Linked DNA regions of Caenorhabditis elegans. Each later gene encodes a partner of the first gene's protein in a complex. Each region holds a gene or a part of one and is shown in the gene's direction. Other genes may lie near its edges.

What was found.
Region 2: cic-1 (region 1) and sop-3 share a complex: the UniProt entries of both Caenorhabditis elegans proteins name them as parts of the mediator complex.
Region 3: cic-1 (region 1) and mdt-31 share a complex: the UniProt entries of both Caenorhabditis elegans proteins name them as parts of the mediator complex.

The regions. Positions count from the first base shown.
Region 1 is NC_003281.10:2,398,999-2,402,753, reverse strand, and holds the start of cic-1 (Cyclin-C), read left to right. Parts: upstream 1-1,532; 5' UTR 1,533-1,545; coding exon 1,546-1,577; intron 1,578-1,624; coding exon 1,625-1,731; intron 1,732-1,787; coding exon 1,788-1,899; intron 1,900-1,951; coding exon 1,952-2,073; intron 2,074-3,755. Other genes in the region: Sterol 4-C-methyltransferase strm-1, read right to left, coding at 593-655. UniProt on the Caenorhabditis elegans protein: Component of the Mediator complex, a coactivator involved in regulated gene transcription of nearly all RNA polymerase II-dependent genes.
Region 2 is NC_003279.8:2,774,458-2,778,212, reverse strand, and holds the start of sop-3 (Mediator of RNA polymerase II transcription subunit 1.1), read left to right. Parts: upstream 1-2,111; 5' UTR 2,112-2,130; coding exon 2,131-2,268; intron 2,269-2,318; coding exon 2,319-2,452; intron 2,453-2,511; coding exon 2,512-2,599; intron 2,600-2,646; coding exon 2,647-2,789; intron 2,790-2,791; exon of another isoform or gene 2,792-2,828; coding exon of another isoform or gene 2,829-2,966; intron 2,967-3,018; coding exon of another isoform or gene 3,019-3,300; exon of another isoform or gene 3,301-3,301; intron 3,302-3,755. Other genes in the region: Y71F9B.13 (NADH dehydrogenase [ubiquinone] 1 beta subcomplex subunit 7), read left to right, coding at 764-1,065, 1,115-1,226, 1,664-1,780; Y71F9B.1 (uncharacterized protein), read right to left, coding at 2,829-2,966, 3,019-3,300. UniProt on the Caenorhabditis elegans protein: Component of the Mediator complex, a coactivator involved in the regulated transcription of nearly all RNA polymerase II-dependent genes.
Region 3 is NC_003279.8:8,964,384-8,967,614, forward strand, and holds mdt-31 (Mediator of RNA polymerase II transcription subunit 31), read left to right. Parts: upstream 1-1,730; 5' UTR 1,731-1,746; coding exon 1,747-1,774; intron 1,775-1,913; coding exon 1,914-2,015; intron 2,016-2,122; coding exon 2,123-2,287; intron 2,288-2,337; coding exon 2,338-2,579; 3' UTR 2,580-2,618; downstream 2,619-3,231. Other genes in the region: snpc-4 (snRNA-activating protein complex subunit 4 homolog), read left to right, coding at 1-147, 203-272, 317-541, 599-919, 968-1,177, 1,226-1,363, 1,418-1,540; spd-2 (Spindle-defective protein 2), read right to left, coding at 2,712-3,042, 3,090-3,231. UniProt on the Caenorhabditis elegans protein: Component of the Mediator complex, a coactivator involved in the regulated transcription of nearly all RNA polymerase II-dependent genes.

The DNA.
Region 1 (3,755 bases):
CTATTATTGACATTGTCATTAACAAGGTCACAATAATTATTTGTTCTTCACCAATTTTCGGCGGCGGCGCAAATAACAGAAAAAAGTAGGTCAAATTCATTTCGTCACCTTATATTCCGTTGGTTTCAATAAAACAGAAGAACACGAAGGGTTTCGTACTGATAAGATGTGATAGTACATAATAACATTAATAAGAAATAAATGTACTTTTGGGGGGGAATTTTAAAAAAAAATTGAAAAAAAAAAATTTTTTTTTTGAAAAAATTTTTTTGAGTTTTTTTTTTTTTAAAGTACCATAACTTTTCTCATTTTTAAGATTTTTTTTATAATTTTTAAAGCAGATTGTAGATAAATATTTTATTCAAATAAAAAGTTACAATCGTACTAAAAAAATGTTGAAAATTTCAAAAAATAAAATTTTTTTTGGAATAAAAAATTTTTAGAAAAAATCCTATAACTTTGCTCATTTTTAAGCTATAAAAATGTTTTTTTAAACAAAACAAAGAAAAATCTTCGCATTTTTATTGCATTAATTAAGACTTAAACAAAAATAGGTCGGAATTTCAAATTTTTGGGAAAAAATTCAACTTACCAAATCGTGACGCCGAAAATGGGTGAGAAGCTTCAAAAAGTTGGCATTCATATTGATGGACATGTTTATAGACGAAGAAATTGGCTGGAAATCTGAAAATTTGAAAAAAAAACATTTCGAACAAAAATTTTCTGAAAAAAAAATTTCGAAAAAAAAAATTTTTTTCGAAAATTTTAAATTTTTCCTAAAATCTCCAATATACTAATTAGCACCTAACAAAGCCAATTTCACACTTTAAAACTCCCCAAAAAGCTCCTTTATACGACTTTTTCCAGCCAATTTGTACCACTTTTCTATTTGCTCAGTGACTACAGCGTCAAAAAGGTCAAAAAGGTGCGAATTTCTTATCAAATGATGATTTCTGCTCAGTTTTGCAAACAAAATTGCCGGATTTTCATCCAAGAAATGGGTGACTGTGTCATATTGGATAGTTTTCACTAGCACCCCCGCCAGACTCCGCCTAGTTTCGGGAAAAAGTGAAAGTTCAAGTGGTCAGAGGGATTGGAGACGGGTGAAATGTAGTTGACATAAACCTAAAGCAAATTGGAAGCATTTTGACACAAAAATCATAAACTCATGAGAAACTCTGAAAAATGAGCCAAATTATTATTAATTATTGTGGCTTTGCAGAAAAATTTCGATTTGTCTCGGTTTTAATGGAATTTTTTGAATTTTAACACAGAAGAAGGATTTTGACTACGTTTTGTTGAATTTTTCACAAAAAAAAACTTCAAAACCCCCTCTAAACTAGCCATAATCCACCAGCTTTAAAAAATCGATTTAAACTACCGCGTAAAGACATACAACGACACTCCGGAATCCCGCAGGCGCGTGTTCTTTACCGTAAATCCACACTCCGAATTTATTCTTATTTATTCGAATTTTCATCGATTTCACTCAATTTCCACTGTTTTTCTCGATTTTTTCATTTTTTTAATGATTTTAGTTGAAAAATGGCTTTAAATTTCTGGAAAAGCAGTCATTGGTAAGTAAATCCCATTGAAAAACCCAAAAAAATCCCATTTTTTCCAGCCAACAATGGATTTTCGATAAAACCGAGATTTGGAAGCAACGCGCCGAGGATATGAAGATTTATAACGAGGAAGAGTACAATCGATTGAATATTTTCTGGGCGAATTGTAATTTTTCCTTACTTTTTCCTCGAAAAAATCGATAATTTTTGGTTTTTTTTCAGTTATAACCGCCGTCGCCACAGAAGGAGCCCACTCACAGGCAAATGTTGGATGTAAACTCCGTCAACAGGTTATTGCAACTGCGATTATCTATTTTAAGCGATTTTATCTAAGGTTTATTCGGAAAAAAATGATAAAAAACCTGGAAAAACGTCGAATTTTTCAGGCAATCGTTCCGTGACATGTGCCCATTCCTCGTAGCCTCTACAGCATTATTTTTAGCGTGTAAAGTTGAAGAACACACTACGTTGAGCGTCTCAAGCTTTCTGAAAAATACAGCTATCGTTTGTGCGTTTTTACGACGGAAAAATTGCAAAAAATTGGCAGAAAAACGCGGAAATCCGGCTGAAAATTGGAAAATTTAGTGAAAAATAGGCTTTTGAACCGAAAAAACACCCGGAAAAAACATCAATTTTTCACTTAAAAACCGCTGAAATCCAAATTTTTCAGCTAGAAACTCTAAAAATCACCTCAATAACCAAAAAAAAAAAACAGTTTTTGAGTCAAGTTTTGTCTCAAAAAAATTTGAAATTCCACTCTTGCAGCTCATTTTCCGCTTATTAATCCAAAAAATCGCCTGAAAATCGATTTTTAAGCTGAAAAACTCGAAAAACTCGAAAAATTTGCCTCTTTTTCACTCAAAAATTCGATGCTTTCCTAAAAACGCCAAAAATAAAAAAATTACGGCCAATTTTCAGAAAAATTTAATTAAAAAAACTAAAAACGCCCAACTTACCAGAAAAAAACCCGTTTTAGTCCAAAAAATCGCCTAAAAATCAAATTTTCCACTTAAAAATTCGATTTTTCTGTTAAAAACGGTTAAAAGTTCAGGAAATACCCATAAAGACCCGTTTTAGTCCTAATATTCGTCTAAAAATCGTTTTTTGTGTGGAAAAATCGGATTTTGTCAATTTTTAACCTGAAAAATTCGATTTTTCGCTAAAAACGCCGAAAATTTCAAAAATTCGATAAAAAACTCGTTTTCACTTCAAAAAAATTGCCTGAAAATCTATTTTCGACAGAAAAAACCAAAATTTATCAATTTTCCACTCAAAAATTCATCTTTTTTTTGCTAAAAAAACCAAAAACTTAAGAAAATTTAATTAAAAACCCGGTTTACTTCAAAAAATCGCCTTAAATCAATTTTACCCTCAAAAATTCAATTTTTCTGTTAAAAACGCCAGAAATTGTAAAAAATTCGACCAAAAATGCGTTTTAGTCCAAAAATCCACCTGAAAATCAAATTTTCCACTAAAAAATTCAATTTTTCTGCGGAAAACGCCGAAATGTTCAGAAAATATTCATAAAATACCCCTTTTTAGTCCTAAAATCCGTCTAAAATGTAATTTTTCTGCTAAAAACGCTAAAAATCACAGAAAATTAGAATAAAAACCTCTTCTTAGGCCAAAAAATGGCCTAAAAATCAAATTTTCTAATCAAAAATTCAATTTTTCTTTTAAAAAACCAGTTTTTCAGCAGAAACAACAGAATTTTGTCAATTTTCCACTCAAAAATTCAATGTTTATGCTAAAAAATACCCAAAATTTCGAAAAATTCTATTAAAAACGCGTTTTACTTCAAAAAATCGCCAAAAAATCAAATCTCCCACTCAAAAATTCAATTTTTCTACTAAAAACGTCAAAAATTCGATAAAAAACCCGTTTTAGTCCAAAAATTCGTCTAAAACTCAATTTTTTCTACTAAAAATGCAAAAAATTTCAAAAAATTCGAAAAAAACCCGCCTGAAAACCAATTTTCCCCTCAAAAATTCGATTTTTCTGCTAGAAATTCTAAAAATTTCGAAAAATTCTATTAAAAACGCGTTTTACTTCAAAAAATCGCCAAAAAATCAAATTTCCCACTAAAAAATTAATTTTTCTACTAAAAACGTCAAAAATTCGATAAAAAACCCGTTGTAGTCCAAAAATTCGTCTAAAAATCAATTTTTCTCTCAAAAATTCAATTTTTTC
Region 2 (3,755 bases), on another chromosome or scaffold:
CGGTCTGCTCCACGTTGTGCTCCGAATCGGGGAATCTTGATCGGGAGAATCTAAATCTGCCCATAGAACCTTGAACGTTGCGGAAAATTCAATTTTTGCCACGAGTCACACAAATATGGGAAATCTGAATTTTTGAGCTCAGATGGGCACAGTTTTGTGGGCGTGGTATTTACAGGGAACTCAGATATATGGGGAGCCAAGATCGTGTAAATTTACAAGGTGGATCTCCGTAAATCTACACAATTTTGGCTCTTCCCGCGCCACGCCCCTTGGGTCCCGATATGTATGCGTCTCTTCAACAGACAACTCTCTGCGGCTTTGTAATATTAGTTAGTCGCAATAACTTGCAATTTTTGTACCGAAAATACGGTACCCGGTCTCGACACAATCTACTTTTGTTGCTAAATTTCCAGCGATTTTTTTTTCGATAAAAATATATTATGAAAACTCTTAAACTTTGAAAAATCGTGAGAAAATCTATGGGAAATCGGTGAAACTACAGTAATCTTTAAAGGCGCACAGTTCATTTCCATTTAACCAATAATTCACGTGGTGTCAGGCTGTCCCATGACGGTTTGATCTACAAAAAATGCTGGAATTTTTCTCTCAGCACACTCTTAACTATGCGAAATTAGTTTAAAAGTCTGCGTCTCTTCTCCCGCATTTGGGGCACTTTGACACCACGTGATAATTGTCGTGTCAAGACTAAGTTATAATTCGCTGCGAGACTCGAAAAATGATGTGCAACCTTCCCAACTTTCAGTTCGTCGCGGACTGCAATTTCAGCGGCGGAGGCCCCGGGCCGGGAAAACTGGCGGACACCACCAACCGCCAGGTCGCCGACACATTCTACCAGAGGACCTACGAAAACTCGCCGAGAGTCCTGCCAAAGTATATCTACTATAATGAGAATACCGCCAGAGACTACGGGCAGTTCGGTAACTGGTACTACCCGAATTACTATCCACCAACTTATCTCGGATTCTTCGACGGACGGCCGGCAAGTATGGCACAGCTTGAGAATGATTATAAATTTGCAAAAGGTGGACATTATCCATATAACAGGTAAATTTAAATTTTTTTAAAATTAATAATAAAACTTGTTTTTTTTCAGAGCCGATAATATTGTGAACATTGGGCTTCAACAGACATATCTTCCAACTTGCCTTCACGACTTGTTCTACTGTGTTCGCGCCAGCAATGGGCAGAGACCCCAGGCGTATTTGGTAGGTGGCCTAGGACTCAAAAAAAACTAGGCCATCGATTTTTCGAATTTTTAAAGAAAAAAACCATGTATTTTTAGTTGAAAATCTCCTTTTTTTAATCTTTTCCACGGATTTCTGGCTTCCCTCATAAATTGAAATGGAAGAGTTTGCCGAACTAGGTCATTTAGGCTCGGCCATATCTGGCATAGATTTACGGAGCGTTGCGTGTCGCGTCGCGGCTCGATTTTAGTTGTAAAACTAAATGTATTTGCCCGTGTGGAGTACTTTCCCACGTGTTTTCCGGCAGGCGATTGTCAATGGAGCGCGAAAAATTCAATGAGGAAGGCCAGAACCCCGTGCGCACGTTTAATTTTGCAACGCTCGCGCCAAGACCTTTCCTCTCAATTGAGCTCAAACAACGTTTTTTTTTAAAAATCACATTTCCTTCTCTTTTTCAGAACTACAAAGAATACCGCCGTGACCGTGACCAGGCTGCTGAACAAATGGCCCAACGGGATCAAGATATCAAGACTCTCCGCCGCCACCGCACCAGACACCACGAGGATGATGAATAAATTGATTTTGTTTGTAGATTATTAATGAAACATGATGTATTTTTGTTAATAAAATATAACTTGAAAATCGATTTTTTCTGCAGAAAACCGGTTTTAAACCCTGAGACGAATTATCTAAATTCAAACACCCGCCAATTGATGCCAGTGGCTGTGGCCTAAAATCCGCCTGCTAAACAACACGCGCCGCGTTATAACGGAGTGTCGTTCGCAGCAAAACAAAATATTTTTTGCACCGATTTTCTATTTTAAACTGCATTTTTAATGGGTTTCTCGTTAAAATTTCTCAATTTTTATATTATTAAACAGCAAATAATTAAATATTTATCGATTTTCAGGTAGCGAAACCTACCATGATAATTGAAGAGAGGAAAAATCATGAGTTAAACCTGGAGTCGATCGATCGAGATTTGCGAATGGAAAATGTCCGCCAAAGCGCAGAAAAGCTGGGATGGGAGCATTTTGCGAGATCTGTCAGGAGGAATTTGCTGGTAACTGCAATCTCCACCGTTTTTCATTGAAAAAAAAATCAAATTTTCAGGAGAAAAGGCAAACACTCGATGCACGAACCCGTCTCGACGTTCTTGGCTCTCTGGTTTTTATGAAAGAGCATTTACCAATTGATAATGATGCTACTATTGCTCGAAAAGTTCAACAATTATCTGAAGGCCTAGGGTGAGTGCTTTTTTAAATTTTTTTTAAATTAAAAATTTTATAAATAATTTTTTTTTCAGAGAACATTGCGTGTTTTCAACTCAAAATAGTGGATTTTCAATCAGAAATCCTGATGTAACAATCGACATTGGTGTTGCAGAGGATCAAGTGCGTTGAATACGGGATTTTACCAAAACAATAAAGCTATCTTTCAGATTAGTACCTGCAAAATCGGTTATTTCGGTCAACCGCTCACTGATGCTCCAGGAGCTCTAGCTCTAATGAAAAATGGAGAATTCTCGAAGCTTCGCGATTCGATAACCGCGATTTTGTCCTCACTTCCGAAGGAAATTACATTGTAAAGCTAATAATATTTATTTTTCAGAGGAAAAGAAAACTAAAAATATGAAATAAAAGCGTAAAAACTAATGAGAGCGACAGCGAGAATAATCGAAGATCTGACATAATGCACCGGCTGGGAGATCTTATCCTGTGTGAGACGGATGAAGCTGATCAGCAGGGCTCCAAGGGCTACCTGGAACGATTTTTATTGAATCATTTAAGAATAAAAATCAATAATATATTACCGGCGGAAGGTTCTTGGCTTCTTCTTCCAAATCGATCGTCGGTATAGATTCCACAGAGGAGAACGTCCACAGCAGAAAACTCGTGTAGAGACCGCCGGCGACGATGGAGAGGGATGAGAGAGTGCGCCACGTGGCGTTCCGTGGAATTTGAATGATGGAGAGGATCGCCGGGACCAAGTAGACCGGCGTATAGGCCCACCAGGTCGGATTTCTCGAGATTTCGAGAAGGCCGTAAGCCAGAAGGCCCAAACCGAGAATTGATTCAGTGGCGCGGAGGAACATTCTAGAAAAAAACCATTTTTTGTGAAATTTTGATTTAAAGGTGGTGTAGTTGAGTTTTTTATTTCTTTATTAGACTCAAAATTGTCTGAAAACACCGAATTTGATAATGAAACTTCTTGAAAACTTTTCCAAAAAAAATTATGACGCTCAAAAAATGACCTAAAATTAGTGAAAATTTGAAGTTGACCAACTTATCATTGTCGCAGCGGCTGGAAACAATTTTTTTTTGAAATTGTCGTCTATTTTTGAGTAAACAAGTAGATTATCTTGCGTTTTAAGCTTTATTATGGTATTTAAAGTCGATGGACGAAGAGAATTGATTAAAAAAATTTGAAAAATCTCTTCGTCCATCGACTTTTAAATACCTTAATAAAACTGAAAACGCAAGATAATCTACTTGTTTACTCAAAAATAGACGACAGTTTCAAAAAAAAATTTGTTTCCAGCTGCTGCGA
Region 3 (3,231 bases), on another chromosome or scaffold:
TAGAATTCGAGCTCTGAAGAATAAGCCGGATTATCAAAAAATCCAAGATAAAATCAACGAAATTGTTCAAAAGCACAAAAATGCAGCCGAAATCGACAAAGAACTACACTCCAGTGAAATTCTCTCATCGCTCACAATCACGGAAGTGTTAGTTGAAAACCAAAAAAAAAACACCATATTTTAATTACATTTTGTTTTTCAGTGATGTTCGTTACATGATAGAAAGAAGCAAGACTTTGACGCGTTACTACGAGGCTCGACAGTTTAGAAAGGTAAATTAATTGTACAGAATATTAACCCATTGAAAAATGTTCAGAACGTGGATCAAATCGGATGTCGTGTTCGTCCGATTAAGATCGATTTGGATCCAGAAACAATGCCAACATTTGATCCAAATGATGCTGAAGATGAAAAGCAAATGGTCATTGTGGAGTCGTTGTGCTCTGTAATTCGTGCTCACGACGTAAAAGAATGGGGCACTAAGTTTTGGAATGAACATCGCTTCACAGCGCCGAAATACGCTAAAAGATTTGTGGAGAATGTGAGTCAGAATAGAGAAAATAAAGTTTAATGAAAATTCACATTAAAATTCTCACAGATGGTCATAAACAAGTCAAAAGAAGTCGCTGAATGGTATTTACATGTTAACTCAAAGTCATGCAATCAAAATGATGTACATTGCCCAGCCAAGTCAACTCTTCCTCCGACTGCTGCATCATTCGATCTTCACAAAATGCTTCAAAAAGCCCGTTCTGGATTGAATCGTCTTTCTGCTGAACACTTTTACCCTCTTGATGTCTCTCTGGCTCAACAATTCAACTTCAAAAACGACGAGAGAGAGGGCCTCGACGGAGACAGACGTATGCATATCGGGTTGTCTGATGAGGTCACCAATAGTAAAGAGTATGCGAATTTTTATGTAAGTGAATATATTATATTCTTATTTTTATTTTTGATAATTTTTCAGGCTCGAATGCGTTCGATTCTTCTCGAACCAATGCGTCTTGGAATTGCTCGTGAATCGTCGTCTGATGAAACCAAGCGGCTTGTGCGCTGTCTTGCAGAGGAACGCGCCTGCGATGAAGAACAACAAGTTACCTGTGACCAAATAAGACGACGCCGGATGCCTGATGACGAGATCTATGTTACTCCAACTTCAATCTCTAGAGAACTAAATGTAAAGTTTTTTGCGTTGTCTCCACTGCTAGACGTTGTTTTTTTTCAGAACGGCATGAAAATCGATACCACCGAGTTGTTGGCTAATCTGGACAAGAATTCTGCGAAGAAAATCAGAATGAAAAGGAAGATTGGAGAGGTGAGATGTGACACTAAAATTAAACTTTTACCCCTAGTAATCCTTGCGGTACTATTATCTATATTTTTCTCATAGTCCTCAATGAAACAGTATATTTTTCAGACCGTTGCGACAGTTGCAGCGCGTCCTGCTCGTCCACCGCGTTCATCTGCAGGTACACCCACTCCAAGTCACGTCTCGATCGATACGGAGAGTAATATTTCGCTCAAAGTGGAGTTAGATTGAATATTCTATTATTGAACAATATAACTATTTTACCCAACTCTATGTCATCCTCTCCTGTGCAGTTTTACATCACTTTTTTAAACTGAACCCATTAAAAGTTGATCTCCTAAGATTATTTCACTTTTGTTTTATTAACAATCTCAGCTCTTTATGAACACCATCTGTTAAATTTGTTTTTCTTTTTCTAATAAAATGGTTTTATAGGCATGGGTCGTTTTAGTTTCAATCGATACGGTATGTTTCCATTGGAATAATATATTTAACTCATTTCGTAGTACGGATTTCACCGTATAGGTGAAAAAAGGTCATAATATCAAAATTTTGTAAATTTCTGTAATTTTTCGAAGCTTGAATTCCATTTTTTTTTCTTCAGGCTACAATACAATGCAGATGGAGAGTGTAGAAAGTGAAAAGACGAGATTTGAAGTTGAATGTGAATTCGTGCAGGCTCTTGCAAATCCAAATTATCTTAATTGTGAGTTTATTCACATACACTAGCCGAGAATAGAGAAAAACGTATTTTTATTCTAAGTTTCTTGTTTTTTTATGCACTCTTTTTCCTGCAAATTTCATATTTTCCAGTTCTCGCGCAACGTGGTTATTTCAAAGAAGAATATTTTGTCAACTATCTCAAATATCTTCTCTATTGGAAAGATCCTCAATATGCCAGATGCTTGAAATTTCCTCAATGTCTGCACATGCTTGAAGCACTGCAGAGTCAGCAATTTCGCGATTCGATGGCTTACGGTAGTTCAAATTTTATTTAATCTATCAGAAGAATAGTAACTTATTTTCAGGACCAAGCGCGAAATTCGTAGAAGATCAAGTGGTTCTCCAATGGCAGTTTTATCTTCGGAAACGGCATCGTTTGTGTATGATGCCTGATGAGGGACAAGAGCTTGAAGAATCTGAAGATGAAGCTGATATTCGACAAAAGGACACAGAGGATGAAGATGATGAGGAAACGATGAAGAAACCGGATGCTGACACAGCCGAAAAGAATTCCACAACTTCTACCGTTTCAAAGAAAGAAAAATAAACATAAAAAATGTAAATCAAATAAAACTTCATCACCACTTTATTGAAATTGAAACCTACATTTTACAGAACCGTGAATTTTTTCGAAGCCTGGACAGAAATCAGAGAATATTTGGAAAGTTAGGTTAAGATTTTACTTTCTATTCGAAAATCTTGTATTGGGAACAATTGTAACGTCGTTGACAAATGTCTGATTACGGAAAGCTGTTGTCTCGAGTAGAGTAGAGTCGTCGTTGCTGCATATCTCTTTCTTCTTCCGGCTTGTAGCAGCACGGAATTCAGTTGTAGAAGTGAAAAAATTGATGAAGAAACTACGATAAGAAGCAGCGAACAGATCACGGTCCTCGGGCTTGATAGCGGGGAATCCAACTGGAACAGCACGAAGAACTTCTTCATCGGAAAATTGGAAAGATGTGAAGTCATGACCATCGATTAGTTGATGCTGTCCTGTGCGAACTTCTAGCCTAAATAATTTCAAATGTAATACCATTTCATCTGTATTCAAATTAACAATCGAAGTCTGGTTCGCATGGTTTCTTCACCCCAAACGACATGCACAAAGAATTTGGCTCCAGGAAGAATACGTCGCTGGAATGAGGATGTTGTTGAGGCTGTCGAAAGCGAAGACGATGTACGAAAATTGTTTTCATCGT